Linked DNA regions of Drosophila melanogaster. The protein of the gene in region 3 interacts with the protein of the main gene of each other region in a pairwise test. Each region holds a gene or a part of one and is shown on either strand. Other genes may lie near its edges.

The links.
Region 1: the proteins of Baldspot (region 3) and Bx42 interact in a two-hybrid assay, tested with the Drosophila melanogaster proteins (one large-scale study listed by BioGRID).
Region 2: the proteins of Baldspot (region 3) and Sec20 interact in a two-hybrid assay, tested with the Drosophila melanogaster proteins (one large-scale study listed by BioGRID).
Region 4: the proteins of Baldspot (region 3) and mgl interact in a two-hybrid assay, tested with the Drosophila melanogaster proteins (one large-scale study listed by BioGRID).

Annotation. Positions count from the first base shown.
Region 1 is NC_004354.4:9,103,168-9,111,116, forward strand, and holds Bx42 (Bx42), read right to left. Parts: upstream 3,438-7,949; 5' UTR 3,281-3,437; coding exon 3,058-3,280; intron 2,791-3,057; coding exon 2,230-2,790; intron 2,165-2,229; coding exon 1,305-2,164; 3' UTR 703-1,304; downstream 1-702. Other genes in the region: Arfrp1 (ADP-ribosylation factor related protein 1), read left to right, coding at 3,978-4,070, 4,138-4,390, 4,509-4,765; AP-1gamma (adaptor protein complex 1, gamma subunit), read left to right, coding at 5,764-5,819, 7,915-7,949. UniProt on the Drosophila melanogaster protein: May play a role in chromatin structure and function.
Region 2 is NT_033777.3:5,819,866-5,827,421, reverse strand, and holds Sec20 (secretory 20), read left to right. Parts: upstream 1-2,917; 5' UTR 2,918-2,980; coding exon 2,981-3,061; intron 3,062-3,114; coding exon 3,115-3,717; 3' UTR 3,718-5,074; coding exon of another isoform or gene 5,075-5,341; 3' UTR 5,342-5,396; downstream 5,397-7,556. Other genes in the region: dgrn (degringolade), read right to left, coding at 1,184-1,617, 1,834-1,923, 1,978-2,386, 2,447-2,473; CG46303 (uncharacterized protein), read right to left, coding at 5,075-5,341; Hpr1, read left to right, coding at 6,090-6,167, 6,235-6,918, 7,076-7,362, 7,421-7,556.
Region 3 is NT_037436.4:16,656,821-16,664,415, forward strand, and holds the start of Baldspot (baldspot), read right to left. Parts: upstream 4,796-7,595; 5' UTR 4,651-4,795; exon of another isoform or gene 4,591-4,650; intron 2,647-4,590; 5' UTR 2,592-2,646; coding exon 2,410-2,591; intron 1-2,409. Other genes in the region: Galphaf (G protein alpha subunit f), read right to left, coding at 6,029-6,728, 6,822-6,919. UniProt on the Drosophila melanogaster protein: Catalyzes the first and rate-limiting reaction of the four reactions that constitute the long-chain fatty acids elongation cycle. This process allows the addition of 2 carbons to the chain of long- and very long-chain fatty acids (VLCFAs) per cycle.
Region 4 is NC_004354.4:9,495,343-9,503,038, forward strand, and holds the start of mgl (megalin), read right to left. Parts: upstream 4,788-7,696; 5' UTR 4,532-4,787; intron 848-4,531; exon of another isoform or gene 634-847; intron 558-633; exon of another isoform or gene 332-557; intron 1-331.

The DNA.
Region 1 (7,949 bases), on a different chromosome or scaffold from region 3:
GATATTAACTATCTTGGATTGCCTACGTTTCTATAGAATCTATAGCAATACTTTAGCTGACAAGCATACATATGATCTTGATTCCCTTGCTTATCGACATACATACACATACATATTTGTTTACAACGTTGGTTATTAGAGTTTATTTTGATTCTAGAAAAGGTCAGCTGCGAGGGCTATATAATATGGGATTACTGCTGCTTGGGCGTATGGAATAGGGTGCCTTCGATGATATGATTGTTGTTTACCATCCACGACGCGGGCACGCTCAACTTACATAATATCAGATCGGTTGGGATCGCTGTGGATCGTTTGTTGTGGTTCGGCGGAGTGGAGGAGGTGGTGCTAGAATCCCAGAGCTCCTCGGAACACCTCGCGGCCGCTAGAAGCCGTTGAATCCGTGGAATTCGCCGCGAGGACAGCGCATTCTCTCCGGGATGCGGCGGATGGCGGTGTGGACCGTTGCCGTTCGAGTTTCGACGTTGGGCTGCTCACTTATTTGCGAATAAATCGAATAAAATTGCAATTAAACTAATGCAACTAAAGTCAACTCAATGTCACACAGTGTGACCAGCGTGCGTGCGGACGATAAAGCTGCTCTAAAAATACCGGCGAAATACTGTTTTTCATTTATATTTTGCGTAGTGAACAAATTTGCAAGTTTAAGAAAACATAATTTGGAATAATATATGTAGGCAGGGTGACAGTCAATTACTGTTACATTTAATCAAGTACCTTAGGATTGGTTATTTCTTAAATACATTATTTGCATTCCTATTAATTTAACGGAATTCAACGGAGTGGTATAACACTACAAAAAAGGTCCGCTAGAAAGCTTATTGGCAAAAGAGGGTCACTTTATTCTTTGATTATAGGCGCCAAAAAGATGGTCATCATATTTTAAAAGTTTCTATCATACTATTGCTTATTTTGTATTATATTCTAGATCCGGAAGCCAGTATCCTTGCTCCCTCGGCTTATACCTTCTCCCGCATGGATGCGCACGTGAAGAGCAATCAAACCATCGCCGTATGTGGTCACACCACTGATCTTTCACTGACCAATCTGTGATTCTGGATCGGATGTGTGCTGATTGAGGTTCCTCCAAGCGCACTTATGCCAAATAACCCGTAATTACACATTCATGTTTATGTCAAGATCCTGTGATTATTATTGAAATTCTCGCCAAGTTGTTGGAGTAGTTAAAAAAAACGTTTGTTTGGTTGGTGAATGGTGAATAGTGTTTGCAATGATGATGATGACGATACAACGATGATTGGTAATCCTCACGCTAAAGCTTTTGTCTAATCGCGCTTGCTGCGCTTGCGATCCGAATGGCTGCTGCGCTCGTTGTTCTTCTCCTCGGCACGCTTGGGCGCCTTTTTGGCCATGTTCAAGAACTGATCGAGACCGAAGGGATCCTCCTCCTTCTCGAACTCAACGGGTCCACTCCTCTGGCCAGCGGCCGCCTCCTTGGAGGCACCGGAGAACTGCTTGTCTGGCACGAAACGCTTGGTATTTACAATGGCATCCAGATCACCGCCGTAGTTATCGCTATCCGCCTGCTTGCTGGGTCGGTAGATGTGAGCGCCCAGTGTATTGGAATCGCGCCACGGCTTGTCGTACACATTGTACGCTTCGTCATCACCGTAACCGGAGTCCATGCCCTTGGTGGTGTTGAATAGACGCTGATCGAAGAGCGTTTCACCGTTGCCGGCACTCTTGGCGGGCAGACCCAAAGCGATTTGCTCAGAAATGTCACGCTCCCTCTCCTTCTGCAGTTTCGATCGCTTTTCGGGAGCCGCCCGCTGCAGGTTTCTATCCCGCTGGCGCTCCCTTTGCCGCTCTGCCCGCAAGTCGTTGCGTTCACGCACCTCGGATCCTGTAGCTCCGGAACCAGATGGCTCGGCTGCCTCCGGATTGCGTAGTCCCGCTCGCTCTTCGCGAGCCCGCTGCGCCATCATACGCAGCATATCCTCCTTCTTCTCCTTCTCCTTTTGGGCCAGCTTCTTTTCCAGCTGGGAGCGTGCCTCCACCGCCTCGCGCGCCTTGCGATCGGCTATGTACAGCGCCTCGGCCATCTTGGCGAACTTCTCGTTGATGTGCACCTGCTGCAGACCGCGTCCATCGGCTGCCAGACGCTTGTCCAGTGGAATGGTGTAACCTGATATCGAGGCAAAGATTTAATTAGGATAATGAAGAGGATTCTAGTTTTACATTAGCTCGCACCTTTGGCGTTCTTCCAGTTCGATATGCAGGGCGGGATCTTCCACTCCTTTTGCTCCTTGACCGTCACCTTGCGCGATGGTGAGTGGAGGACAGGTGCCGGCGGCGATGGTGGACCTCGTGGAATCTTTTTGTTAATGCGGAACTTGGGCGGCTCCATCGGATCGAGCTGCGCCTCCACCATCCGGATGACACGCTGCTTGGCGCCCGAATTGAAGGTATCGCCCTGCTGCGAGGGCGTGTACCGAATGTACTGGGCGGGACCCGCCTTCTGGGCATGGCGCACGGGCAGCGCTGAGGTGATCTTCTGGTTGGTCAGCTTCTCCAGCGCCAGGCGCGTCTCCTCCGTCGTCTCCATCACCGTTTCCTCGTCCGGGCGCTGTAGTTCATCCGCATCTTCGGCCAACACCTCCGCCGGCAGCAGTTGCGAAATGGACGAGTACACAATCTTGTCCTTGCCATGTCCTTGGCGTGCTATGGCATCGTATTTAACCTTTCCCTTGTCGTCCAGGCGAACGGCCAGAGCATCCGACTTCTTGCCAACATTTCCTGGTGCTCCCAGACCTGTCGAGAAGATGAAGAAGACGCAGAAATTGTTTCAATTGAATAAGCCACGCTTCAAAATGCTGATCATAAAATACAAAAATACAACATTCTACAGCAAACGTTTAACTTAATGTGGTGGAAATTGAAGCCTTCTCGCTGTACAATCACCCACATATAAGAAGCTAATGGTTATTTCCCTTACGAGGACACCATTACCAACGAAAAACCGCGACAACATTGTTTGCAAGCACAGAGAAAGTGGGATTAGCACGAACGGGAACCCACCTAGTGGATATTGCGCCACATGGATCTCCGGGAAGGCGCCGCCATCGCCAAAGTCCGCATCCGTATGTGGTACCCAATCCTTACGCTGTCCGTACGGCGGAGCAGCGATTTTGGCGGAGACCAGGGCTCCGATCTTTGGTGCTCCGCGGGCGACCAGGCGACGCTCGTCCTCCCGATCCCAGATCGCGTTCGTCGGCGTGGGCAGCAGGCTTGATAGCGACATAGCTTATCTGTTATTTGTGGCGAATCAATTCTTATGTGAAATCACTTTTCAATATGCAAGCCACAAAAACTATAATGGAAAAGTCGAAAAAAAAAACACGCACGCACACGGACACACACAAGCGTACGGGTGTGTAGGGTTGCCAGACTGCTAATAAGAAAATGCTATAGAGTATGGTCCCTTTTAGGGATGGATTGCATATATTGCGTTTTTCTTAAGACGTAAGAAAACCAAATTGGTAGAAATAACAAAGCGATAGCTTTTTCCAAATTTGAACGCGAATCGGTAGTGGATTGGTAATGGTCATCAAACATCATCAAAATTTGCAAAAAATGGTCAAAAAATTGAATTTGCATTTTTGAACACAGTTTGATTTGAAATTTTATTACGAGCTTAACGAGGTATGACATTCCATATTTGGACCATTATTTCGAATGTTCTTATCAAAATACTACAATATGGTTTATAAAAATCAGGGGCAATCAGAGAAAATTTGAATAATTTATTTTTATTACCTTAACAGAACTGTGCAATACTTAAAAATATAATTTATAGACATCCCCCTAATAATTAGATAGATATAAGTGACACTTGCCCGATCGATACTATCGCATCGCCCTAGCCGCTGGCAGTGCCATCGCTAGCAGTTCAGTCAACAATTTAAGTTTTTGTTTTTGTTGGCCAAAAACACAATACAATGTACACATTGATGCACGGCTTCTACAAATACATGACTCAGAAGGACGACTACTGCGTGGTAATCCTGGGCCTGGACAATGCTGGCAAAACGGTAGGCAGCTGAATCATCCAATGAAAGCCTCATGTCCAATCGGAAACTAACACCTGTGCCCACGTAGACTTACCTGGAGGCCGCCAAGACCACGTTTACGCGTAACTATAAGGGCCTCAATCCGAGCAAGATCACGACGACGGTGGGCCTCAACATCGGCACCATCGACGTGCAGGGCGTACGCCTCAACTTCTGGGATCTTGGTGGCCAGCAGGAGCTGCAATCTCTCTGGGATAAGTACTACCAGGAGTCGCATGGCGTCATCTACGTGATTGATTCCAACGACAGGGAGCGCATGGAAGAGTCCAAAGCGATATTTGGTAAGCGAAAACAGTCTTCGAACTAATCCCTTGAACAAAACTCGTTTTGATCTATTCTGATGATCTCTGGTAAAAGGAAAAAGGTTCACCTAAAATGTGTTATTCTCTTTCCCCACAGACAAGATGATCAAGAACGAACTGCTGTCCGGAGTGCCTTTGCTAATCCTGGCCAACAAACAGGATCTGCCGGATGTGATGGGCGTGCGGGAGATCAAGCCAGTTTTCCAGCAGGCGGGTGCTTTAATCGGGCGGCGAGATTGCCTCACCATTCCCGTATCCGCGCTGCACGGCGAGGGCGTGGACGAGGGCATTAAGTGGCTGGTGGAGGCCATCAAACGACATGCGGTGGTGCGGCCGCCGCGGGAAAACGATTAGAAGATCAAGCAGAAGACATCTGGGCCTGGTAGTCGGCCCTCCACTGGCTTTAATTAGACATGTACTTTTGTAAGTTAGGGGCTTAGGATAACGCTTATTTGTAATTAGCCAGACGAGATTGCGAGATACCAATTGTAAAGATGCGTTGTCATTATTTGCAAAGACCTTTCTTTTCGGTTAACTACTGCTGAGAAAATGAGGAAAACAATGTTAGAAAGCTGTGAGACTTCTGCATAGGACAACGAATTACAAATACTATTGTTAGAATAACAAAGAACGCAATGCTTATTAGCCAATTAAGTGCAAGAACTATAAATTCAGAAGTACTTGAAGATGTATTTGAAGAAGTACTTTGTTCTGTTAATAACCCAGATACATGGGTATTTGGATGCCAAAAATGTAATAAAACTGAATCCATTCGCAGCTGTTATGGTTAATCGTTAGCCACAAAGTGTGTGGGCGATTCGAGGTCCACCAAAATCGGGAGAGTCGCTTCTTTATCTAACAGCACTGCACTCGTAGTACACCTCGATATGGCGGTTGTCAATGGGGCTCCGCTTATCCGAACCGAACGACACCGAACCGCGGAAAGAAACAACCAGCAAACAGACGGGATTGTGGTGTTCTCACGGCGGGGGGAGCATTATTATTACCATTATCAGTCCGATAGATAAGTGCTGTGTGTGCCACCAAAAAGCAAAGGCGGAGGAAAATGAAAATGAACTAAAAACAACACCTGGTGAGTGGCACTGGAATCGTCAGTCTTCCGCAGGAGTTTCCACCGCTCGGACTGGAAATGATCGGCCGCCAGCAAGGGCTAGATAGCTAGACCTCGAGCCAGAGCTAGAGAAAAGAAGAGCGTTACCTGTTAATTATTAGTGTACATTAGATAAGGCCTATGTGAAGCACTCGCCGCTTATCGCTGCCATTCCCATACCCGAACGCGCTCCCGCTCCCATTCCATTCGGTTTAGTTCCGTGCTCCAGTGAGAAGCCACCATGTATCCGTATTACGAGCAGGACTGGAGCGTTCTGCCGCCGGAGAACAATCGCAGGTGAGATGAAATCCCGCCCGGTGCTCGTTCATACCCTTAAAGATTCGCCAGTCGATCTTTAGAAAATGAGACTTTTGAAAGTGTTTTTCAAAAATGACGTTATCGCAGTGTGACCGTCCATTGACCGCTCTGCATAGCGGTATTTTTTTTTTATTTGTGCTGTGGTGTGGCAAAAGAAAATCGTTGAATCACCCTGTGTAAATGCAATTTATTGTCCCCCTATTATCTCTTTTATTTTGGTAAAACTGCCCCTTCTCTACTGGCATTCCATGTGAGTTGTTGCGGTTCGAATGCAATGCCATGGAAATATAATTAAGTGCATCTTTTACTTTGATAAGGCAATCAAATTAACTGAACGAATATTAAACTCAAACTGTTACTTATCTCTCAGATAAACACAATTAATTTGTAATGATTTATGCCTCAGTCTTGATATTTTCCGTATAACTATTTGTTTGGTTGATAAATCATTGAATACCTACCCACTGTGCCATCAAATGCGCTAACGCCTATCAGCGCGAGGCGTTAATGCCTTTTGCGCACACTGCTTGTAAATATCGCGCTCTCGCTCGCACCCACTACCACTGTTGCGCTCATCATCAACATATTCTCGACGAAACATTTTTTTTTACTTGTTACGTTGATTTTGTGGCGTTTAAAATAGCGATTAACCAGCGCCAAGTTGGCCCAGCGAACATGTGCTAAAGCGTAAATGCAGTGCTAGAATAGGCATTTATTCAATTGCAGAATCATTCCAGTTAAAAGCGAAGGTGTGTGCGTGTACTTGCGACGACGGGCCGTGTGTGTTGAAATTTTTTTTTTAGTTTTTGTCGCGTTGTTAAATTTTATAGTTGAAAAAAGCTAACGTGTTTCCTGATTATTCATTAACAAAAAAAACGTAACGCCGCCAAGTGCGCGAATGCATCCAATTTGTTAAAACGGAAATGCCCGTTGAAAAGTGTGCCATAGATTTTCCTGCCCTTTTCTTGTTGGCCCAAAAGGCATGCATGAGTGTATATATGTGTGTGTGTGCGTGAGCAAGTGTGTGTAGGCCTTCCAGCGAATCGCATAAATTAGCAGGCGAAAAATCACATTGAAAACAAACGAGGAAAGCTCGCAAGAAAAAAACCCTACGTGTTAAATATATACTATAGGGTATATAGGAGTGACGTTATTTCATGACTTTTTAATGCAATCGATATGTATGTATGTATGTCAGTTATGCTATCGCTGGCAGCTGTTTTCGTTTTTTGCCCAGTTCACTTAATAAAATATTAAGTGGACATCAGTAAACAAGTTGGATTTTTCGGGCTTACTGCTTCTCCTTTTCCAATTGGAAACCCTTTGCGCGCGTATGAATGTCTCTATTAATGTGTGTGCGTGTGTGTGCATTAATCATTTAATCAATTTGCATTGCGCTCCAAACTAAAGTGAATAAAGCACAGTAATTTGTTGTTGCCTTGGCCAGAAAGAGAGATCAAACGTATTTGTTTGAGCCAACTCACACACACCCACACCCATGCACGCATCTGAGATGTCAGTTTCATAACAACAGCGATCTACTTTATGTCAGCGGTAATTGTACCTGCTTTTATTTAAACTATTCAGCTTATTTTTTCCAATTCCATTAGCTTGGAAAGAGAGCAAGCGAGAGAAGGATAGAGAGTAGGAGAGCAAGTGCAACAAAATAGCGGCCGGCTGTTATTCCCTGTGTGTGTGTGTGCGCGCGTGTGTGTGCGTTTGTGTGGGAGTGCAGGTGTGTGTGCGCGGAAGATCTGCAGAGGAAAAACCGTTATTTCGTTTCGCTAATTTGTGTTGTTGCCCCGCCGCAACAGCAACAAAAAGAAAACAGAAGAGCACATAAGCCGGCAAATAGTTAACAAAACCAGACGTAATAGAATATAATAATAATAACAAAAATATAAATAAAAATACGAACCAGTAAAAGAAGGAGCAAAAAAAAGGCTGCCACACAAGTGATTCAACGTTTCTCGTCGCCACAATGAACTCCGAGCATGGGTAGGATCCTAAACAGCAGTGCAAACATCCCTAGAATTATGCCCATATAAACCCATTTAACCTCTTCCTCCGGCAGATTTAATCCAGCCTTCAATATGGCCACCATACGGC
Region 2 (7,556 bases), on a different chromosome or scaffold from region 3:
ATGGAAACTCCATCATCAATGTCACATCGCACTACCTAGGAGTTCATCTAGATCGGAGACTGACCTGGAGGGCCCACATCACGTCGGTCAAATTTTAGTCACTGGCGAAGCTAAAAAAGCTCGACTGGCTCTTCCACTCCAGCAAACTACAAGTGAGCTCTAAGGCTCTTTTAATCAAAGCCATACTTGCTCCAACGTGGAGTTATGCCATCCAGGTGTGGGGAACTGCCGCCAAATCCCAGCTCAATAGGCTCCGTGTCGTCTAGTCGAGAGCTGCACGTCGTGCTTTTGGGCTCCCCTGGTACGTGACAAACAAGGTAATCGAAAGAGATCTGAAAGTTACCCCTCTTGGGGATCAGATTAATTTTCACAGCAGCCGTTATGCCGACAGGCTTATGGTCCACCCGAACCGACTAGCAAATAGCCTATCTAATCCCATCTCCCTCCGAAGGCTGAAGAGGGTACACCCCACCGATCTCCCTACACCCTTACACAATAAGTAATTAATAACTAGATACATTTTCCCTTTTGTACTTAATAATTAAGAAACCACTTGGTCTAATATACCTTTATACACACATAAGGTTAAGTTCAGAGGAATTGACCGAACGATTCCTTTTGGAACCAAAATAAATAGAATGAAGTTTAAAAAAAAAAAAATATATTGTTATATATATACAAAATTGGAGGGAAAAAGTCTCTTTAAAGACACTTCATGTTCCACCTGTTTCCAATTTATCCTGTTTTATCGACCCTTTAATGATCTCAGAATTCCATGTCTGACTTCTGTCTCAAAAAATAGTAGCCAACAATAAAAAATGAGATTGAGACAAACCTGTTGATATGCGTTGGGACCATTTTATTTATTATATTATATGTATGTTACATTGTTAAATTGCGTTTGGAAAAATGCCTACATAATACTTTGACACTCCTTTCGGTCGTTCTTATATTATTCTAGCCTGAGATGGTTTCATACATCAAAAGTGAAGTCTTTAGTTTTTATAGTTGTATTCAAATATTTTTGGGCGCCACTGATTACATAGGACAACTTAAATAACTAATTTTTTCTGAATCACAAGAACAGACATTATTTGCCGTCTCTAACATAGTTAAGCGTTTTTTTTTAAACTATATTATATTAAGGCTCACAGAGCAAAAAATGTGAAATAGTATAAGCAACTTACAAGTAAATGCGAAAGAATTGACGTGCGGTCAGCTTCTTGTTGCATATTGGGCACTTGTGCGTAGCTCTGATGGCTGTTTCGATGCATTCGCGGCAGAAGACGTGTCCACATTTGGTTGACACTGGCTCGCGCTTCGATACACTGTCCATGCAGATGGGGCACTTGTATAACTCCTCTTTTTGGGACTCATCAATGTCGCGATTAACGCGTTTTGGTGGCGACGCAACGTCGAGATCCACTACCGGGTCATTTTCGGCTGACCGACGTGGCAGAATGGTGAGGGAGTCGTTGGAGTGAAGATTCACTGTGCGACTTCTTGGGCCTTCGGGGGTGCATAGATCGATGAAAGCATCGGGATCACGATTCCGAGCGGATCGAACAGGTGGTGCACGGTCCAAATGGGACAGATCTATCACTTCTACTGGACTCGCTACGGAAAAAGTAAGAAACGGTATTCGGTTTATTGCTAGCTCTATCCGCGAAAGCTATCTGGTTTTCACAAAATTTTAAAAAATATAGATAAATTTTGCCTTCAAAAGTAAGTAACCCGGCAGGGTTATAGAAAGAACTATGTCATTGGTTATTGTGGAATTAAAAACATTGTTCATTGTGAAACCCAGATGCGTTCATTTTGATCTGCACTTACTTCTGCGGCGAATTCTACGAGTTGTTGGCGTTGAGGTTCTCGTGGCGAAGGTGTCAATCTGTGCCACAACTTCCTCGCAGTAGCGATTCACTGAAATATGAAACAATTAACAGAAAACTTCGTAATGATTATGGAGTGACATACTGCGATCCAACTCTGCTTCCATCTGGATCACATCCTGGGTAAGTGATCTGATCTGCGAATGAGCATCTTCAGTCGAGACAGACAAGTTAGCCATATTTAAGGGGTTATTGCTTTGCGGTGACTGCAGTTGGTTTGAAGCTTCTCCGACTGAAGATTCGCTGGTATTGGTGGCTGAAGATGAGTCTGATTCCACAGATAAATCACGCTCCACTGGGGATGGGCGTTCCAAGGACGAATGGGAATCAGCGGATGAATCAGATTCCGCGGATGACTGAGATTCCACGGATGTATTGTGTCCCGAATTGGATTCTATGGATGAATGGGAGTCCACAGAAGAGTCGGATACACTGGAATTGGAGCTCGAACTGGATACGTTGCTGTCCGCTGACTGATCAAGAATGGATGAGTTCTACTAAATAAATCAATCATAAATCGGAATTAACTAGTTTAAAGTCCAGGGTATACTTACAAAACGGAAAATAGTCGAATCTGACATTGTTCGAGCAACAAATGACCAGGAAACTTGTGAAATGATTTCGTAGTAAAGACAAAAGCAGGTGAACCCAGATATACATGTGCTTTAGTGCAGATTGAAATGTGCAAAATAGTTTCCTCCTTTCACGCGACCATTCGGTTATTTTAAAGATGACACTTTACGGACATTCGGGAACAAGGATTTAAGATCGACTATCGATTTTTGCGGTATTATACAATGCTGTTTAGAATGACACTTGTAATTCAATAAAAATCAATAATTTATTAAAAATAAAATTTCCGTTTCGGCGAAATTCTTTGATAACAAAATAATTATAAGAAATGTATATAAATATGTCGACATTACAAAACCATACCATCACTATGTAAACGATATTTTTTAGGCGATTAAATGCCATCGATATATACCGTGCCGTGGTAGTGTTAGAAAATTGCGGGAATTAACGTTAAATGCACGTCACCAAAGCAGAATAATAGAATATTTTCGAAACAAAACAAAGTTGGAGACATGGACAAGGATGCGTTTACATTACAGGCCATACGGCAGGACCTTATCGATAACAATCTGCAGGCTAAGGCAATAATACACGTAAGTCTCCGCTATCTGAAGAGAAACCCTCATTACCGAGCTTCTGTTTTTAGGACATCCTGAACAGCCGCACCTCCATCGCCGAACTCGAGGAGCTGAACGAAGCGGGCCGCTCCAAACTGTCTGCTATCCGCAAAAGCATCGAGCGGCTGGACGACTGGGCGCGGGACACGGCAGACTCTGCGCTGGCCAATGAAGTGGACGACCACCGTGATCAGTTCTCCAAAACGCTGCAGGCGTTCCGAAAAGCAAACGTGTCCACGATGCTGGAGATCGAGAAGGCCAATCGGGAGGAGTTAATGGCCATTACCGGCGAGAGTGAGCTACGCCAACGAACCACAACACGGGCGCGGCACAACCAGGGCAGTCTGGTTTCGCAGGAGAACGACGTGACCGAGAAGATGCTGGCTATATCGCGGCACCTCTCGGAGACCACCCAGAAGAGCGCCATCACCCTGGAAACGCTCGTGGCCTCGTCGCAAAATGTGGAGGCCACCAGCGACGAACTGCACCACACGGCCGGCAGCATTAGCATGTCCGGCAAGCTGCTCAAAAAGTACGGACGACGCGAGTGCACTGACAAAATGCTGCTCTTCTTCGCCTTCTCCTTGTTCCTCGCCTGTGTCTTTTACATCGTCCAAAAGCGACTCTTCTAAGACTCCACAAATGGACAAAACCCGTTCCCAAAATAGCTTAAGGTTGTCGCTTCTGTTGTCTAGGTATAGCTAGATTAAGCTTAGCACATGACCATACCTTGTAAGCACAGCTCCTATATTTATATTATTTAGTGATTTGCCTAAGTTGTAAACGTGGTACAGCCAAAGACCCTAGAATAACAAGATGCGTAACGCCATACGATTTTTTGGCACACGATTTTTTGGCCGTGGCTCTAGAGGTGGCTCCAGGCTCTCTCGAATTTTTGTTAGAGAGCGAGAGAGCGAAGAGCGCTACAGCGAACAGCTCTTTTCAACGCACAAAGTGATAGCAGACATCTGTATGTGTGCACACGTATTCACATGCATTGTAAATTTGACAAAATATGCCCTTCACCTTAGAAGTTCTTTGGCTTTAAATCTATATTATTTTTTATCAATTGGCACCATGCGAAAAATTCTTGTTTTGCATTGCCTTAACGTTATTATTATTTGAAAATAGATTAGAAATAGTCAAATCTATGTACATATTATCACAAAAATAAATTTCAAAAATGAATTTATATAAGAATATTTGTCATTAGAGTATTCATCTTGCGGCGTGTGAAAAATTAATAAGGCAATGATTGTTGAGTGCTTGTGTCCGCACTTCGTGCCTCAAGATATGAACAAAGCAAAGACACTAGAATAATTCTATTGTCTTTGATATTACTTTTGCAATTTAATTTAATTGCATATTTAATTATTTAGTATATTTATTAAATCATTTGACTTAATATGATGTAACATTAACATTAAAAGTGTTTCAAAAAAAATATTTCGGTTTTAAAAAATTGTCAGATGAGAGACAAATTAGAATTAAACATAAATACAAATGTGTAAACGGTAGCTAATTCGAGCGGCGATTTTAACAAAGAAATTTAAAAAAGCTTTAAAATTATAATAGCCAGGGCGCGAATTTTTAAAAATTTTTTATTTTATCATATTGCTAGGAAATTGGCAAAAACTACCCTAATATGTACCATGTAAATTCGTTTCTTCGATCAGAATTGATTTCGGCCCGAAAATCGTCTTCTAGCACAACACGCACACTTATACGCGTTCTCGTCTCTTGTTTTTACTCACACAAGCAAGCAAATTATATTTTTAGATTTCTTACGCTCTAAGCGGGAGTGAGCGGAAAGAGAGTAATTTTGGCCGTCACCAAAAAAGTGGCTGCATAGTGCCAAACCAATGTATGGCCGTTACGCATCTTGTTATTCTAGTGTCTTTGGTACAGCCTAGTATAGTATGGTAAATGCAATTTATTTTTATTTAGAATATATGAGTGTTGTATATGTAGATAAAAATGTTAAGCAAGTTAGTAAGGGCACCTAGGCACTCCTCCGGGGTTTGTGAATCCGTTGGTGTTGACCAACCTGCAGATGTCCTTGTATGACCGCGCCGATTTTGCAGGCCTTTCTGGCTGTGGCTGGGAATAACCTCTGTTGTAATAGTCAGGATAGAACTGGAACCAAGAAGGCCTGTGGTAGTTGTAGTCGGGAAAAAATTCTTTAAGCACAGAGCTGCTGCAGAATCTGCTTAGCCCCAGAATCCACAGCAGAATGTATATAATCGACTTGCGCATGGCCACTTCGCCTGAGCTTAAGATTTGGAATAAAGCCGTACCCGATTCTCATTGTATACGCCTGGCGCACTTATGAAGCTTGTGCGACCTCGCACACAGTGGGAAAGTAATTGGAATCTGAAATCTATGCGTGATTGTCGGAATAGCTGATAGCGGGAGTGTTCGCGTGCCCCAGCTCAATGCTATCGTTATCTACAAACCATTCGGCCTTTAAATTGATGTATGATGAAAGTTTATTCAATGTGTGGTTTTTGACGTTTAATAAGAAAAATTCGATTTTGAGAAATGCATTTAAAATGCAATTTTTATTTATCGCAGTGAAGAATAAAATAATATATTTTTTCATTATATTTGTTACCAATTTAACAAAAATATTATGTAGTTGCTTTTTTAAAAGTCTTTCGGGTCAATAAGAAAAAAAAAGCTTACAAACAGAGTATTATGTTCTAAGGAATAGGACCTAAAAACCCTCATTACCTAATTGGTGTTTCAAAAACAGGTTTATGTGGTGCAAAAGGACAAATTTTGCTAACAAAAAAAAAAAAACACTTTTTTAAAAAAACTAACTTACAGGCGCCTAAAAAAAATTATAATCGATTTGTCATCGATTTTTTGGTCTTTAAAGTACTATAGCGGCGCATTATATACTAACCAAAACGAGTTGGCAGCACTCGTGATGTTTTGATTGAAAAAACAAATTAGTTTATTGTTTTTATCTGTTGTCGCCAAAAATATTATTTAAATCAATATGAGCACCGCCGTAGAAGTGGCTAACACGGCTCCGGAGAAGTTGGCCAACTACTTTGCGCTACAGTCGGCGTTTGAGGTAAAACGTTGATGAATGGCCCCGAAACCGGCAATGTTCCGATCTGATAGAAAATAATAATTTTCAGAAAGCCCTTGAATTGGCCATCACCGACGGCAAAGTGGAGCTGTTGGTCAAGGAGTACAATAGATTCCCGGCCAACACCGAGCACGACAAGCGCTTACCCATGGACCACGCGTTCCGCGTGCTCCTGATGAAGCGGCTGGACGAAGATGTGAGTCGCATTGGAGAGCTTGTACGCCTCTCCGTGGAAGCCACGCGGGCCGAGATTGTGTCCAACACCATACCCGTGGTTCTGCTGATCGACACCTTCGACGTGGTCACTCTGGACAAGTGCCAGAAGATATTTCAGTTTGTCGAGGATATGGTGGAGGTGTGGAAGGAGGAGATCTTCTTTTCCTCATGCAAGAACAACATTCTACGCATGTGCAACGACCTGCTGCGTCGACTTTCGCGCACCCAGAACACCGTCTTCTGTGGCCGCATCCAGCTTTTCCTCTCAAAGTTCTTTCCCTTTTCGGAGCGGTCTGGCCTCAACATCGTCTCCGAATTCAACCTGGACAACTTTACGGAGTACGGTCTGGACAGCAAAGACCACGACGAAAGCGACAACAAGGAGCTGGAGGATACCGCTGAGGACATCCCCCTAAAGATCGACTACGACCTGTACTGCAAGTTTTGGTCGCTGCAGGACTTTTTCCGAAATCCCAACCAGTGTTACAATAAGCCGCAGTGGAAGATGTTCCAGATGGTAAGCAGTGGCTTGGCACAATTACAATTGTAGAATATATATATATCTTGGAAAGAGATCAAAGATGTTTGCCAGCTAGCTTGCTCATAAATATTGGTTATTAATAATCCTGCCCCATGTTGGTTCATATTCATATATTGTTACTTTCCCCTTCCAGCACGCTGACAACATACTACAGTCCTTCTCGAGCTTCAAGCTGGAAGACGTGCGCCAAAGTAGCAACGAAAATGCGAGCGGTACTGACCAAGCAATGGATGTGGACGAGGAGGCAGTAGACACCACGGCGGTGTCTTCCGTCATCAAGGCGAATCACTTCTTCGCCAAGTTTCTAACCAATCCCAAGCTTTTGGCTCTGCAGCTCTCCGACGCTAATTTTCGACGTGCTGTTCTGGTGCAGTTTCTAATTCTATTTCAGTACCTGCAAGTCAGTGTAAAGTTTAAAAGGTTCGAATATGAAGAAAGTCCAGGGAAAACGAACAAACTTTAATGATTGTACTTTCAGTGATACTCAAACCTTGACTGCAGACCAGGCGGACTTTATCAAGGAAACAGAGTCGCGTGTTTATAAGTTGCTAGAGGAGACACCACCGTACGGTAAGCGGTTTTCACGGACAGTGTATCACATGCTGGCCCGCGAA
Region 3 (7,595 bases):
ATCGCTTTAAAATTTAAATGATTACAATTATCGGTCATCGTGCTCCTCTGCAAACACATACATACATTATTCGCTGCTTCAGATTTCTATTTTAACCACTGGGGTCCCCACACACGTTGCCCACCCCATCTCATATCGCCCCCTTATGAACCCTCCTCCTTATATGGTCACAAAACATTTGCGCACGCCAAAGCTACACTGGCCAACAGGAACTTGTTTTTCACGCATATTACATCATTTGAATATCTTACTTTATGGACCATTAAGGCTTTGCAACTTATATTTTATAGATTCTTTGTAGAGTGCTTATAAGCTAATTTTATTAGGCATATTTAATCTTTAACCATTTAAGGAGATGTCAACTGTAATACGCAATACGTTATGGATACTAAAAACTGAAATATTAAAATTCTCCAAAGGCTTCGACCTCTTGTTTACTTTTTAACTATAAAAAAAAGCAAAAATCACTTTAAAGTGCTGGTAAATATTGTAAACGCAATCAGGTGGTCCAGTGTACCAGTGTCCAATTGAAGTGGACCTATAGAGCGGCTACATGTCAAAGTGTCCTGTTGGAGTTCCGTCCAGGACTACTACCCACAACCCCGTCTGCGTGGACACACCCACTTCTTGCATGACACACAAGCACATATGTACATACATACGTGCCACATGGTCGCCGTGGAAAACTTTGTCCGTTGGGCATTTGAAATGAAACGAGTACGACATGGCGTGTACCTATAAACCTAATCAGTTTAATGACTTTAATGGCGCACTGTCCGAAACGAGTGAAACAAAACAGAAATTCAAAAATTAAATTCATGAAAGATGAGGTGGAATGCAAGCGGGAAGTCCACTCTCTAAATATGTAAATGTACAGTCGGTGGCATGCGGTCAGGTGCATTTGCATTCTTTCAAAGTTTGCGATTAATTTTGACACGCTGTTCAGAACCGTGGTTGCTAATTAGAGATTCTTAAACATGGCATGGTTTGGAAAACGTCAAATATTGAATATTCATGCATGTGTTTGAGTATTCAAGAAGTTAAGTAGCCATGCTGAGCAAGCGGAAATCAATCCGTTTTAATTTGCCCAATTCATCCTTACCTTGTCAGTTTTTTAACCCCAACAGTTCGAAAGAAACGCCTGCATTTTCACTAAATTCACACCTTTCTGTACCAAGTACATACGTCCATTTGCTTAGCCGACTCTCCTCCATGTGGGCAAATATTGAAATGACATTCCGAAAAAGCCAAGTGTAAGGCAAAGCCAACAACAATAAAGTGAAAAATTAACCGACAGATCCCCCGACGAGTGTCCGCGTAGAGAATCGCCAAGCAACCCAGGGCCAAGCCCCTATATAACTCATCCAAAAACCCAATGGCTTTGGGTCGGAGTGTGGGCAGGAATCGCTACTCCACATTACATTATGCAAGCAATTGAATCATGATGTGGAATTCAGGGTTAGGAAAGCCACATCAAATAGACTTATCTAGCTAACATTTTTTAGAATACAAAGACGTATGTTTCGAAAGATACTCAGAAGGAACTTATATAGCCCGTTTTCCCCAGTTGGACAATAATAAACTTTTCTGTTAGACGGTAGCAACTTTCTACCGAATTTCACAGTGGCCTTAGCAAGGCTATAAACAGCTCCAAACCAGGTGACAAAACTGAATTATGATCTTGCAAAAATACTGTCTAAATGGCATGTCACGAGCCCAACTTAATTTGGCCACAAAGCCCGATGACGACAATTAGAAGCAGGAAGGCAAACACAGTATCATAGGCAAAAACGAAGCGAATCGAAACGAGACAATTGCCAGCACGAATAGCCGCCAATTGGATCCACCACAGGTAAATCAGGTAACAAGGAGGGGACAAACAGCGCTGACTGTTGGAAAAATTGTTAAAATACCCAATCAAATAGGTCTTTAGCCATCGGAAAATACACCTGAATAGTGCGTGCTCAGGTGCGAATGCGAATTGTTGGCTATTTGAGCCCGAGTTGAGGATTCACCTACAACATTAGTGTTTGATTAGCCGTAATTTAATATAATTACACGTGGAACTCAACAGCTGTCTGGGCTAATAACAAATGTACACTTGGACTCCAGTCTTTCCGGAGAATAAACCGAAACAAAGCGCGACTGAGTCAATATAGGGGTTTCCAGGGATTGGTTTCGATAAACAGCAAAGTTGTTTCTACCGACTGCAAGGGGCGTGTGCACTTGTGGGTGTAATTAACGCCGCTCCCCGGCCGCCAGCTAATAATTTTCCAAGGCCAAAGGGCGCAAGTTCTTAACCCAACCGTTATTTCACTGAATTGTCTATCTAAGCCACCAAAGAACACATGTTTTTTAATCGCAAAACTGCTTTAGTTCACATAGTTCAGTTCAGTGTGGCAGACTCACCTAGGCCGATTTTGCATAAAGTGCTGACCACCGAAGATGACCAGCATGTAGATGCCGCAGTAGTAGAACACCCATGTCCAGTTCTCTAGCATCCATTTGCGCGTCCGCTGGTGTATGAAATCGTTCTCGAAGTCGAAGATGTACGAGTAATTGGGCGTAACGCTAATGTCCATGTTGATCATTTTGGTGGGCTTTATGTGTTTGAGTTGGTGGCTATGTTACTTGGGTTATATGCAGCTGTGGATTGACAAGAAAGTAGAGATAGATTAGTTAATGTACTCAGAACTATCTTGTCAAAGATCTTGTACAACTTTGTTAAGGAATATAGCTATTCGTATTAGAAATAGCTATTCGTACACCAGAACGATTTTATTAAATTAATATTAATTTAATATTAACAATAGGTTTTAGCTTCTGCTGATTAAAAACTAATTTAAATATACATCGAGCTATACAGCTGTTTTATTTGAATAAATAAAATAATATACTGAAAGTACCCAATGAACTAGGACGGTTTAAATTTTCTCATTTTGCTCTGTATGACTTTGTTTTTTTATACATTACGTACTTTTAAAATAGGCACACAAAAAGGAAAACACTTTGAATATAATTTTTTAACTTATGGGAACATTCTTTAATTATTAAAACTACAATTTATCTTCGAGTCGAATGTTTTTAGTTTTTTTTACTGATTGCAGTATCTTATCTGTTTCCTAAGTAATGGGGATTTTACACGACGATGTTTAAAGCTTAATTCAGTAAAAATTCCGCACCACTCCCCCTTATCAAAACTCACACGCGCTCTCTCACACACACACACACACAATCAGGCACATAAAAAGCCCGCGTTTTGTCGCATAAATTTCTCGGCGACCTTCCTTTCCCCTTCGTCCCACACCACTCCTCCTCTCATTCATCCATTTCATTGATTTTGCCAGGCAACAAAAAAAACACCGTTGGTCCATGGCTCTCTCTTACTCAATCTTTCTTCCCTCTCACACCCCTTCAAACACCTTCCCGCTCTTGCTCACTCTGCAAGGGATGTGCAACGCTTTCATGAATGGCGCACGCTTTGTGGTTATCTTCATCTACATTCTTCCGCTTTTCACACTTTTCACACCTCGTGCTGAAGCTTAAATGGATACACAAACAACTTGATACACAAAGAGAAACATTGCTCGTCAATCGGAGGTAAAATCTTGACATTAATAATTAAGTTTAGTTAAATGTGCATGAGTTTTATTTTAAATATTTAATTTAAATGTGAGAATTTTAAGATCCCCAAAATCTCTAGCCGAAAAACTACACTAAAACTACAAATTAAATACATTTGGAGTCTCCGAGTTTGGTTTTTTTTAACATTCTACTTTTATATCTTGAAATCACAATACTAATAGCTGAATCCAGGGACACTCTGAGTCCTGTAAGCTACCCCGTTATTACATCACTTTTCTCACAGTGTTCTGGGAGCACATGAGTGAGGGGGTGGCTGTAACGGAAAGTGTAATTGTGGTAGTTTACAGAGAGCGCCAGTCTGGCGCGCTCTCTCTTCCTCTTTTTCTCTGCCCACGAAAGTCTCGTGCGAATTAAAAGAACTTGAAGGAATGCATAAGCAAACAGCGAAACCCAGCAAAATACAAATGAGACAGGGCAACTTGCCGGTGGGAGGGAAATTAGTTTGAATGCCTAATTGCATGCCAGACACGCGACTAATCATACACACACTCGACGCGCTCACACTTTTACGCACTCTCACTCACTCTCGCACACACAGGTGATTTCGTTTTGCCATAAGCTTCGCTTTGGTTTGATTTGGAAGCTTTTTCTGTTGTTTCTTTTTGAGTAACATATCCGGTTTTTTGCGCGAGCGCTTTCAAAAATTTCTAGTGAAATTTTTTCGATGCTCCTAGCGGTTTTTATGTTTCCGAAAAACAAACTGCCCCTCCTCGCCCTAACTTTGCTCTCACGCAAAAACACGCGATCTTTGCCGAATTTTTTCCATTCGTATTCTGGTTCCTGCTGAATCGATAAAGTTCTCGGTTAAATCAGCAAATGTCTGGGAAATATGTTTTTGCCTCTCCTCTCTTTCGTTCTCTCTCGCAGCATCGGATGAGAAAAAAGGGGCGCAAAATAAGGAGGAAACCAAACCACCGCAAAACATCAACGAGAACACGCACTCACACAGATATCACAGAAAACACGGTTACTATTTTCGAACGCTGATGTCTATGAGGTAATTACATTTGCTCGCCGCCTCTTATCGCAGTATCAATTGGCTGGATCACAACACACACGGCTGGCTGTCACACACTTCTGCCCCAGCGACTCGGTTCAGCAAACTCAAAAAACTATCGAATTTGCCGGCGCAAAGCGAACTGAACGTTTAGCTGGCGGTTCGGCTGCTTTATCGCTATACTTATATATAGGAGATATTTTAGTACCAATCATGGCGCTGGTACTTTTGCCATCGCGGTATTTTTCTGCGGCTCGCGTGCGGTCACATCTAGCTGCGTGCGGGTGGAGCTCTATGCACACTGGTTCCACTCCTATTGGGTACTAGTCAAACTTACTTATGTTGCAAGGAACAGTTAAGCCACTAGTGTCTTTGGTTAAGCGTAGCAAGATGCATTTGTATGCCCAAATTATTAAACAGTATCGCGAGTTATACAGGAATATTTTTGTTTTATGGTTATACCGACATGAATCGTTAAAATGTTTGGGGAGAACGTAAGCTGGTAAAAGTTAAAACGATGATCGATCTTTATTTAACTTTTTGATTTGGTTGAAAGTAACGATTCTTTGTTCGTGTTGCATACGTAGACACAAAACTTAAATACCATATCACTTTACGAGTAATGGGTATTAGGTAAGGACCACAGCTCATTGGTGTGTAACTTGGCTATTAGTTAAGCGATGGTAAAGAACTATGTGGATTCCATCATTTAAATTTAAGACCGACCGTACAAAATATAACGCTCTGATCGATAAACGGCATTTAAGTGGAATAAGCTTTTTTTTTAATTTGAATAAGAAGCGCATATTTTGTAAAAGATCACTATGACTTTTTGCCTTTCAATATGTTTTTTATATTTTAAAATGTTTTAATACGAAGCTTATATATTCTTGTATAAAGAGTAGAATGGTGTATTCCGAATGGGAAACTATTTTGATCAAAAGTAAAACAACTATGGTTTCTTTTCCTTTCCTATGGCAACATCAGATCGCTCAAAGCGTGTGTGCCCTTTGAAGTATGCTACACTTTGTGTTGCATGGGACCCAAATACCCAAACTTTGGGTGCAAAAATATTTAAAACTCATTCTCAAATTGTCTGGGTGTGTTTTGGTTTATTGTAGATGCTATATTCTATTAGAGTTTAGACATTGGTTGAAGGAGTAGTGAGAGCATTCGGTATGAGGATTCTTCCTCTACACCCAATGCAGTTAAATATATTAAAGCGTTGTACCAGCCATTGTGCAACATACGGTTGCCACTACGATCTACGGTCTTACATGGCTACTTATGTAAGTCATATCCTACTAGATCACAGTTGGTGGGGGCCTGAGGACAGCCCTCCCTTAACTTTATTGAGAAGCTCTCCGATCCGCAACGGGATCTGGACTAGAATAGGCCCATGCTGGACACGTTCTCCGAGAGGATCATCTTCTGGACATCGCAGAAGACATCACGGATGCATCGCGTATCCGTGGCGACGGTGAAGTGGTAGTAGCACTCCCTTTCCGAGGTACCCAGATCCACCTGATTCCGTGAGTGTCGCTTGAACGGCTCCTGTGTGATATCCACCAGCTTCTGTTTGATGAACATCTTCGTCCAGTCACTCTCGCCAAAGCAATTGTCCTGCTGCGGCCTCTTGCAGAAGTCCTCGTATTCGGGAAAGTAGTCCACAATGTGCTTGCCGGCCCGAATCTTTCGCTCCATGATGTCGTACTTGTTGAGGAACACGATCAATCCGGCGGAGGCGAGGAAACGATTCTGCCACACGGCTCTGAACAACTTCAGAGCCTCCTGCAAACGATTCTGGCTGGGATCCTCGCGCAGATTCTGATCGAACTCGCTGCACGAGATCAGGAACAATACGGCCTGTATGCCTTCGAATACCTGAATCCACTTATTCCGCTGATCCCTTTGGCCACCCACATCGTACATTTGGAACTGCTGTTCGCCACCACCCATGCTCTTGGGAATGGGTACGCGGAAGGTGATTTGCGAGATGCCGGTGGTGATCTTACGGCTGTGCAGAATGTCCTCGGTGCTGGGTATGTATTCAGCATCGCTGATCCGCACAAAGTTGTCCAGGAAGCTGGGGTAAAAAAAAATTCAAACTTTAGTAAGGTTTTTTTTTGAATAAATGGGAAAGAAATCTGATTTTGAATCAATCCAATTAGATACTTACTATTTCGCACTATCCAGCAGGGGAAACTCATTTGAGCGATCATAGCAGGCGCGAATACCCACATCGTTCCACAAAGTAGTGACGTGGTCGCAGTACTCCTAAAAATACAAAAAAAGTAACCCAAAATTAAGTATTGTTTTCAAGTCAGTGATGGAAAATAACATCAACTCTTCACCGGAAGATTGCAAAAGCCGCTTGGACAGACAAGTACGAAAAGCTAATCCGGTAGTAAAATTGTCTAGCTAACCGTCTAAAAAAATTCTATTTGCTGAATATATGATAAGGATCATAAACGCCAAGATTGTGTCACTTTGCAACTGTCATACGAATGATCAACATCAACATCAAAGTAACAGCACAAAGTCAACTTTAAACTTAAAAATAAAATATAAGAACCTCCAAAAAACATACTCTATTTTGGTCTGATATGATTATTTATTTCCTCAGTTAACTTAAAACTCTGAACGTATTCGAGTCACCTATTCAAACAGTCAGTCATAAAGCAAGGGGAATCCGAACTTCGGTACTTCTTTTGTTTATGCTTGGCATTACTCACTGGCAAAACATAAAACCATGAATGACTGGCATCTAGATCTGGGAAAGGCCCCGCCCACTTGGAGACCTGAACAGCCTTGGTAATCTAATCGTAAGCCATATAATGACCACTGGTTAGAGGTACATAGATAAATTTCGGAAAGATAAAGCAGATTGCGCCACATGAATCACATTCAGAGGCAGCGTTGCAGCTGCGGCAAACTTGAAATAAAAAAAAGG
Region 4 (7,696 bases), on a different chromosome or scaffold from region 3:
CCAAAACTGGCTAATTGAATACGTTCCGAGCCCGAGTTACAGATGGTACAGAAAGTACCAGAGAGTGCCAGTTAGTGCTATTGGATGGGGGGGAGGGGCGGTCGTGTGTGGGGGATTGGGACAACTTAATTTACCGCTCGACCGGCAAGAGACAGCTTCTTCTTTTTCTGGTTCACATGTCTTCGTTTGTCTAAAAAAAAAAATTTCAAACGATTTTCTTCGGTGGTTTTCCACATTTTTGTGTGTGCAACGTAACACGTTTTCCAATTAAAATTACAAGAAAATTGTTTTTCTTTTTTCTGATTTTCTGGTTGTTATTGTTTTTGCTTACCTGTCACTGGCAAAAAGAAGAGCGTAATCCAGACAGAGAGCGAGAGAACGAGCGTGAGCGAGAGAGCAGCATCGTGCGAGAGAGAGAGCAAAAATCCTTGTGCTGGCACTTTTCTTTACAAATTTTCTTAATATATCCTTTTGTTGTTGCTTTCTTCTTGTTGTTGTTGGTGGCAGGCCAATGCAACAGGTAAAATAGAGAAAATATGGAAAAAAAACAGAACCAAAACAGAAACACCGAAAACGAAACAGGCAAAAGGGCAAACACAAAAACAAAAAAAATAAAGAAAACAAAACACAAACTTTGTCAGCACTTGAAAAAAAAATCGTTTTCGTTTCTAATTTTCTCTTTGTTGAACGCGCGCCATTTTTCTTCTTGCCTTTCTTCGAGAAGGTTTTTTCTTAAATAGACTCTTTTGTAATTATTTAAATTAAATTGCTGTTGTTTTTTTTTTTATTTTGCTGGCGAGAGCCGCGGTTTTCGAACTGCGACGGCGCGCCTTTGGAAACCAACTGAAAAAAAAAACACAGCAATCAGAGAGCGAGAGAGGATGAGAGAAAGAGCGAGAGAGAGAGCGGCGACGTCAGCGCGAGACACGTATGTCGTTTAAGTCTTTCGTTTTGGTCGTTCTTGTTCTTGCTGCTGCTGCGTTGGCGCAAGCGAGAGAGAGAGAGAGAGGGAGAGAGAGCTGAATTTCAGGTGTGGCAACCGGCAAAATCACAAAAAAAATCTTATTTTATCCAAGTACACAAGAGACAGAGCGAACGATGGAACGACACGGGGCGAAACATCATTATGACCTGTCCAGAACTTAATGAGAACAGAGTTTTACATATGAAGACTACTTGTTTCTGGTTTTTGCATATTGGTTTTCGGCCTATATATATATATGTAGCTTAGAGATATACTATGTATGCAAGGCAGAGCCTAAGAATATAACTCCATCAATCGGAATTGAAATAACTAATTAGAAGAATCAGAAAGCTAACAGAAGCACTTTTATCTATTCAAAACGAAAACGTAGTCATAATATCGTTGGAGTTTCATACCTTTTTACTACCAAATCGTTTGATTGTTAAATGGAACGCAATTTATTTTATTGTCTAATGTAAAAGATAAGTTATCAACAAATTACATTGATGGATAATCTTTGAAGTAACACGTGTCACAAGAAATGTGATTTAAAATATTAAAATAAAAATGAAATGAAATGACTTGAAACATTTAACATATATGCAGGTTCCTTTAATCACCCCACTACAGAAACTGGAAATTTTTGAATAATCCCAATAAAATTGATCTGTGAAAAGATCTCTTGTGGTTTGTAGATTCGTGGTAGATTTGTTATAGATTTGTAATAGTTTTAGGCGCATGGCATGGATCGGATTCTTGGCTCTGTTTCTTCTCTTCTTATCTCTCTCACTGGCTCTCTGTTGAAAATCGGGTCGCTGCTTAGTTATTCCGCACAGGTGTGAGTGTGTCTGTAGGTGTGTGCGTGATACCTGTTTGTCCGCACACACACACACACATACGTACACAAACAGAAGAAACAGTCATCATCATCGTCTAAGCCAAGTTGCCTCTTTTCACCTTTCCTTTGGCCATTCAATTCCGCTCTCGCTCTCCCTCTCGTCCCCTCTCTTTCGCGCCCGCCTTCATCGGGCGGGAGTGGGAGGGAGAGGGCTAATGTCGCAAGTAGCCGAGATTCGATTCTTCTTCTACGCTGCCTTTTGAGCTCGCTTCCTAATCCATTAACATTTCTCTATCCCTCTCTCCCTTTCTCCTACTCTCTTTCTCGCTCTGTCTCTTTAGCCCTGTCTTCTTCCTCTTCTTCGCCTTCTATGGGCTCGGATAATTCTTCTTCTATCTTCACCATTAAATGATGACGACGCACTCGCAAGAGAAGAAAAACCCAATAAAAAAAAAAAATAATAAATAAGTCCGACTTCAAAGACTTTTATTAAAATTCAATCAATCAATCGCAAAAATGACAGTTCGATCTTCGCAATGATGAATGGATGGTTTTGAATCTAAAATCTTTGCCTTATCACCCACACTCTCATAATTATTTATCTATTTAAATATGCCATCGTTCAAAAATTTCCATAAATATACATTTTATTATTCCGTTTTTAAATTTTTTTTATTTTACAAAAGTACGTACGTATATACGATTCTGTATTATCGTATTACCCTATATAAAATAGTCACATAAATACCTATATTTATGATTCATGATTTAAAAGTGAATTAAAACACGTTTTAGCAAAATGAAATCATCTTCAAGCAAGATCATACCGTGATTTTGTATACTTCTGAAGAAGAGATCTGATTAAAACGTCAGTGATAAAAGGGCTTATTCTAGACGCCGAAAACCCATCAAAATTGATGACCAATGTTGGTGACAGATAATTTCTTTGTGCGACGTTGGCCATATAAATAATGTGTGTATTTTTTATTTATTTACTTTTTTTTTGCCACGCTCAACGATCAGCAGCGACAACAATTTAGAAAATTAGTTGCACACTCAACGAAACTCGTTCCATTGGCTTTCTAACCGGCAATGAGGCAAGCAGATCAGCGGTACAGTTGGCGGGGCGGCTAAGGGGGCTTAATTTTTGTAAGCGGCCGGGGGGGGGGGGGTGTGTTGGTGTTTCGATGGGGGCTTACAAGGGGGTGGCGAGTGGGCCAACTCTCCCATTACATCTGCATATGTGGCATGCAATTGGATCTGCCTGGCATATTCCAGATTGCCATTCAATTCGATTTGTGTTGTGTGGAGTAAGCGAAAAGCGAAGGAAAAAACCGAGAGCCGACATGGTGAATTCTCGAGCGGGGTAACCAGTTAAAAATGGGAGCTAGAGCTGGCCTCCAGTTACTGGCGGGGGGGGCGATAACTGGCGTGGAATATCTTCGAAATTGCTCGATGTCTCGTATTCATATGCATTAACAACCGCTGCTTGCTAGAACTTGCGAATCTCTCAAGTTCCAGAAACCAACAATTTCATAGATATTATCACACCAGCTGGTTAACTTTTTTAACTGTTCCTATGTTAAATTACTAATCTATGTCAATTTGAAACCGTATTTGGGTATATTTAATATGCTGAACTGAAGACACTTCGTGAAATCTTTGAAAACTATTGTTTACTCTCAAGTTTACAGTTTTCAATGAAGTTATTATGCGTGTTTGAACTTGAACTATCATGCTGTCACTTCCGATTTCGTCAATTGTTTTCGTTACCAATTCATTTTTTTTTTTTTTTTTCGTTGGCAACACCTCTGGCCAATTTGCTCGCCTGGACTTTTCCAAGCCAGTCAAATTTGCACTCGAAGTGGAAAACTTTCGACTGTGAGTGTTTCGGTCGGTTGTTGTGGCAAATATATAAATTTGTGAAATTGTCAGTGCCACAAGCAGAGATGATTTACCGCCCCGGGGGCTATGCCAGCGACTCATTTATCAAGCAAAAAATAAAGAAACCCGAAAATGAAGAGAGTTCTAAGTTGCGACTGGGAAACTTTCACCGGGTGTCGTTTCAACGCGGTGCGGCAATAAAAGGGGGGAGGGGGGACCACATTTTTTTTTGCAACTCTCGCACTTGAGAATCTCGGCCGGGGAATGGGGGGAAATGCTAGCAAATCATATTTTTGGTGAGGGCGGGATTGGCGGTTGGGGGTGTGGGATTTAGTTGGTCTCAAAGTCTCTGGGCTTTATCCTGGCCAAGCCGAGTCATAAACAAATACGGTTTGCTGCTGTTTTGTTTACATTCGCAGTGTTTGGTGCCCACCGACCGACGTCTTTTGGCCAGGGGTCTTTTGGTCTCTTGGCCAGACTGGTTTTTCTCCGGCCAAAAAAGGAAGTTGCTCGTAAAGTGGCGAAAGCCGCCAACTGACTGACCCAACAACAAAGTGTGCAAAATAAAAATTGCAAGAAGAAAAATCGTTAAATAAAATAATAAAAGCGCTTTCTTTCTGTCTGCCCCTTTTGTTTTTTCTTTGTGTGTGTGTTGTGTGTTTGTTTTCTTTCTATAAATTTTTGCGGTCTGCGTTTCTTCGATTCAACTATTTTCCATATTTTTCTATTTGATATTTTGGCAATTTTGGCGATTTTCACTGATTGGTTTTTAATTTTTGCATTTTTCGGTTTCTGTTGGTGGCACAGCAAAAAAAAAAAAAAGGGAAGAAGATCGAAATATTTACCGCCGCACTCACTCGAAAAAAAAACTCGTAACACTCAATTGGAATTTAATCGGCAGGTTGGCCTTTCTTTCTTTCTTTCTATCTTTCAGTTTACTGTTGTTGTCGGCTCCGATATTCTTGTCACTCTGTTCTGGCTGCCCACACGCTGGACGTATCTGTTGTGGGCCTGGGATTCGGGTTCGGATCAGAGTCACTATCGCACTGTCACTACAGTTGGTTACTTATTAGCCGCGCTGGCTGACCGTTCACGACGACGCTCCGCGAGCGACTGACCAGCGGATGCTAGCGCAGCCCACTCGCCGCCCAACCAAAACCGAAGGCATCGAACCTTCGAACCATCGAACCATCGAACATGTTGCGTTGCAGCCGCTACTCACAGGCAGTGCGACTTCAAACAGAGGCGCCGCTTTCGAGAGCGAAAGAATTGCATTGGTATGCTCATGACTGCCCAAGGAGCTTGCTTCATCATCAAACCAATTCATTATTATTATTTAGTTCTTATTATTGAGATTATTGTACATACTTAATAGCAAGTAATAGTTCTACTAAAATGCTAGCTTCATTTTATTTGAGAACTCCGCAGCTTCGGAGTGCACATTTCTTTGTTCTCTGCTCTGCGTTTAAGTTCTAATACTATTTAGTTACGCTGCAATTCCTAATAGCCCCCATCTACACCTCTGATGCAACATCGATTCCATGGCAAGGCTATGTTCGAGCGTGCAACATGCAGCATGTTGTGTTTTCATTCGAACAATTGTTGCTGCCACAGTGCGTGTTGGTGGTTCTAATTGACAGTTTTCCAGAACAACTTGTTGAGCTTATTGTTGTCTTAATGGGGTGCTTATCTACACCTGCCACCCCCCCCCCTCCCAGACTTTTGCTTGCCTCGCGGATTATTGGAGGACAATTCCACCCCCCCCCCCCCCCACGTCACACTCTTACACTCTCTCTATCTCACTCTCTGTCCGGGTAAATTGACGATTTGAATATTTACATAAACGATTCTGATTACAATTGAATTTATTATTTAGAGCAGCTACTTAAGCCGCTAAGTCGTTGGGTACATAGGACATACATACATACATACATACATGCATATGTGTATTCATTTGTCGGCTGTCGCTTGACAAATGATACCTTTTCATGGAACTTTTATTTGTTTATTTTGCTTTCTGGAAGGCACAATCTGCGGCACGCCGAGAATATTGAGTAAACACACAATTGCTGCTTGCCACGTGCAACGTGCTCGATGCTGGCAGCGAACGCGGTTCGAGTTGCAAGCCCCTTCAACAGGTTGCCAGGTTGCTCTACGAAAATAATGTAAGCTCCTTTACAAGTCCGTACGAAAATTAATTCAATACTCGGCTAAAAATAAACGCACTTGTTCTCAAGTACAAGCTTACACTCACACACATATGAAACGGAACCTAAGTAAATCCCATTGTTTTGGTTTTAGAACTGAGCAGGAGAATTTTGAAGAAGTTCTTCAATATTTACTCCCAAGAATTCGAGTGTATCCAAACTATTCGAATAGGGCCTTCTTCCGCGAAAAAAATCGCTTTAATTGCAGAGCAAGTCAGTCACCAGCCAAATGAACAGCTGTTTCGGCTCCTAAAAACTTTTGCCTGACCGCCTGCTGGCCGTTCCGCATTCTTGGAAGCGGAATTGAACAATTTGAGATTTTCGAAGGGGAAAAGCTGTTTCGCCTATCAGGTGGCCAAGTAGAAAGATATATACATTTCCAATCCAGTGCTGCGGAGACATCACCGAACGCTCTACGAGCTATAGGAAAATTCTCTATTGCGTCTTAATGGATTCACAAAACATTCTCGTTTAGACATATTTCGCAGTGAAAGGTGATAGGGCCAAGAAAAACAATTGGCCGAAACCGAAATGCGAAGTAAACTTTTCATGCACAAAAACCAAAGCGTGCAATTCTTATATTTATATTTACCCAGAGATTCTCGCGCGTTTTATGACGAGGGTCATTTGGGGAAAGCGTGACCCGGCCGAAAATAAACAAAATAAATTTATTAACCATCTCCAAAGTTTAAACAGCCGTAGAGCATGTTCTCGAGTGGGGGGCAGTGCGCCAAGGTTGCACACTTGATCGCAATTCAAATAAATGACTGGCTTACACAAATTATATGCGAACTTATTAACTTAAGCCAATACATCAAAATATGTTTAAATATTATATCAAAAATAATAAAGTTTTTATTTCAAGAAATTCCCCACCAACCATAACATTTCCTAAGTTATTTATTGAATAATCAGAAACCACGTAGATATTAACTATACGTACTAATCGTGTTGTTAATCTCGAAATTGGTTTAACTATTGTTCCGGATATGTAACTGGATGCAACGGATATGATATAAGGTAAATTATTTGGGTGAGCCCAAGTGCATGTGAGTAATTGGAAAAGTTTGACACGTTAACACGACACAAGTTGGTTAACTGATGTTATATTTTTTCAACAAGCTATTTTCCACGTAACCCAGGGGAAAAATAACCTTTGCTTAGCAAAAAAAACGGAAATCCGTTTAAAAATAAAGCTTAAACGACCACAGCTTTTAGCCAGCATTTCACTCTGGTTTATTGGTTTAAGCCAAAATAAACCTATAATATCGACTTTTAACAGCTTCAAAAAGCTAACACTTTTAAGCTTTAAGCTTTTGCAGAAAGCAGTGTTACTGTGACTTGGGAAAGTGACCGTTAAAAGCTTTTCTATTTCCTTCAACAACTTCTGTTAAGCCAAAAGAGCTTTTCCGAAAAATGTTACACCAATGTTAATGTAAGGAAATCGTTTTCTTTATTTAATCATTGTATTCTTAAGTCTACTGTAAGTAATCGTTTTAATTAGTAATTTTAATTTCTGTTGTGGATTCCATTCCGCGTCTCCTGCGTTTTTGCTTTCTTACTTTTCTTTTCTTTTTTTTTGTTACTTTTGCTTTAGTTTAGTAATAATATTCATTATAAGATACGAGTAATCTCAAACACAATAGAGACAGTTACAGAGCGACACACACATTTTAATTATATTATTATTGCTAAGACACAAGAAATAACGATTTTGAAATAAATGCTAACAAAAAAAAAATTAGAAAGAGTGCCAGCCCGGTTTTTTTTTTCAAACCGTGCCTTTCCAAAATTTCTTCTTTT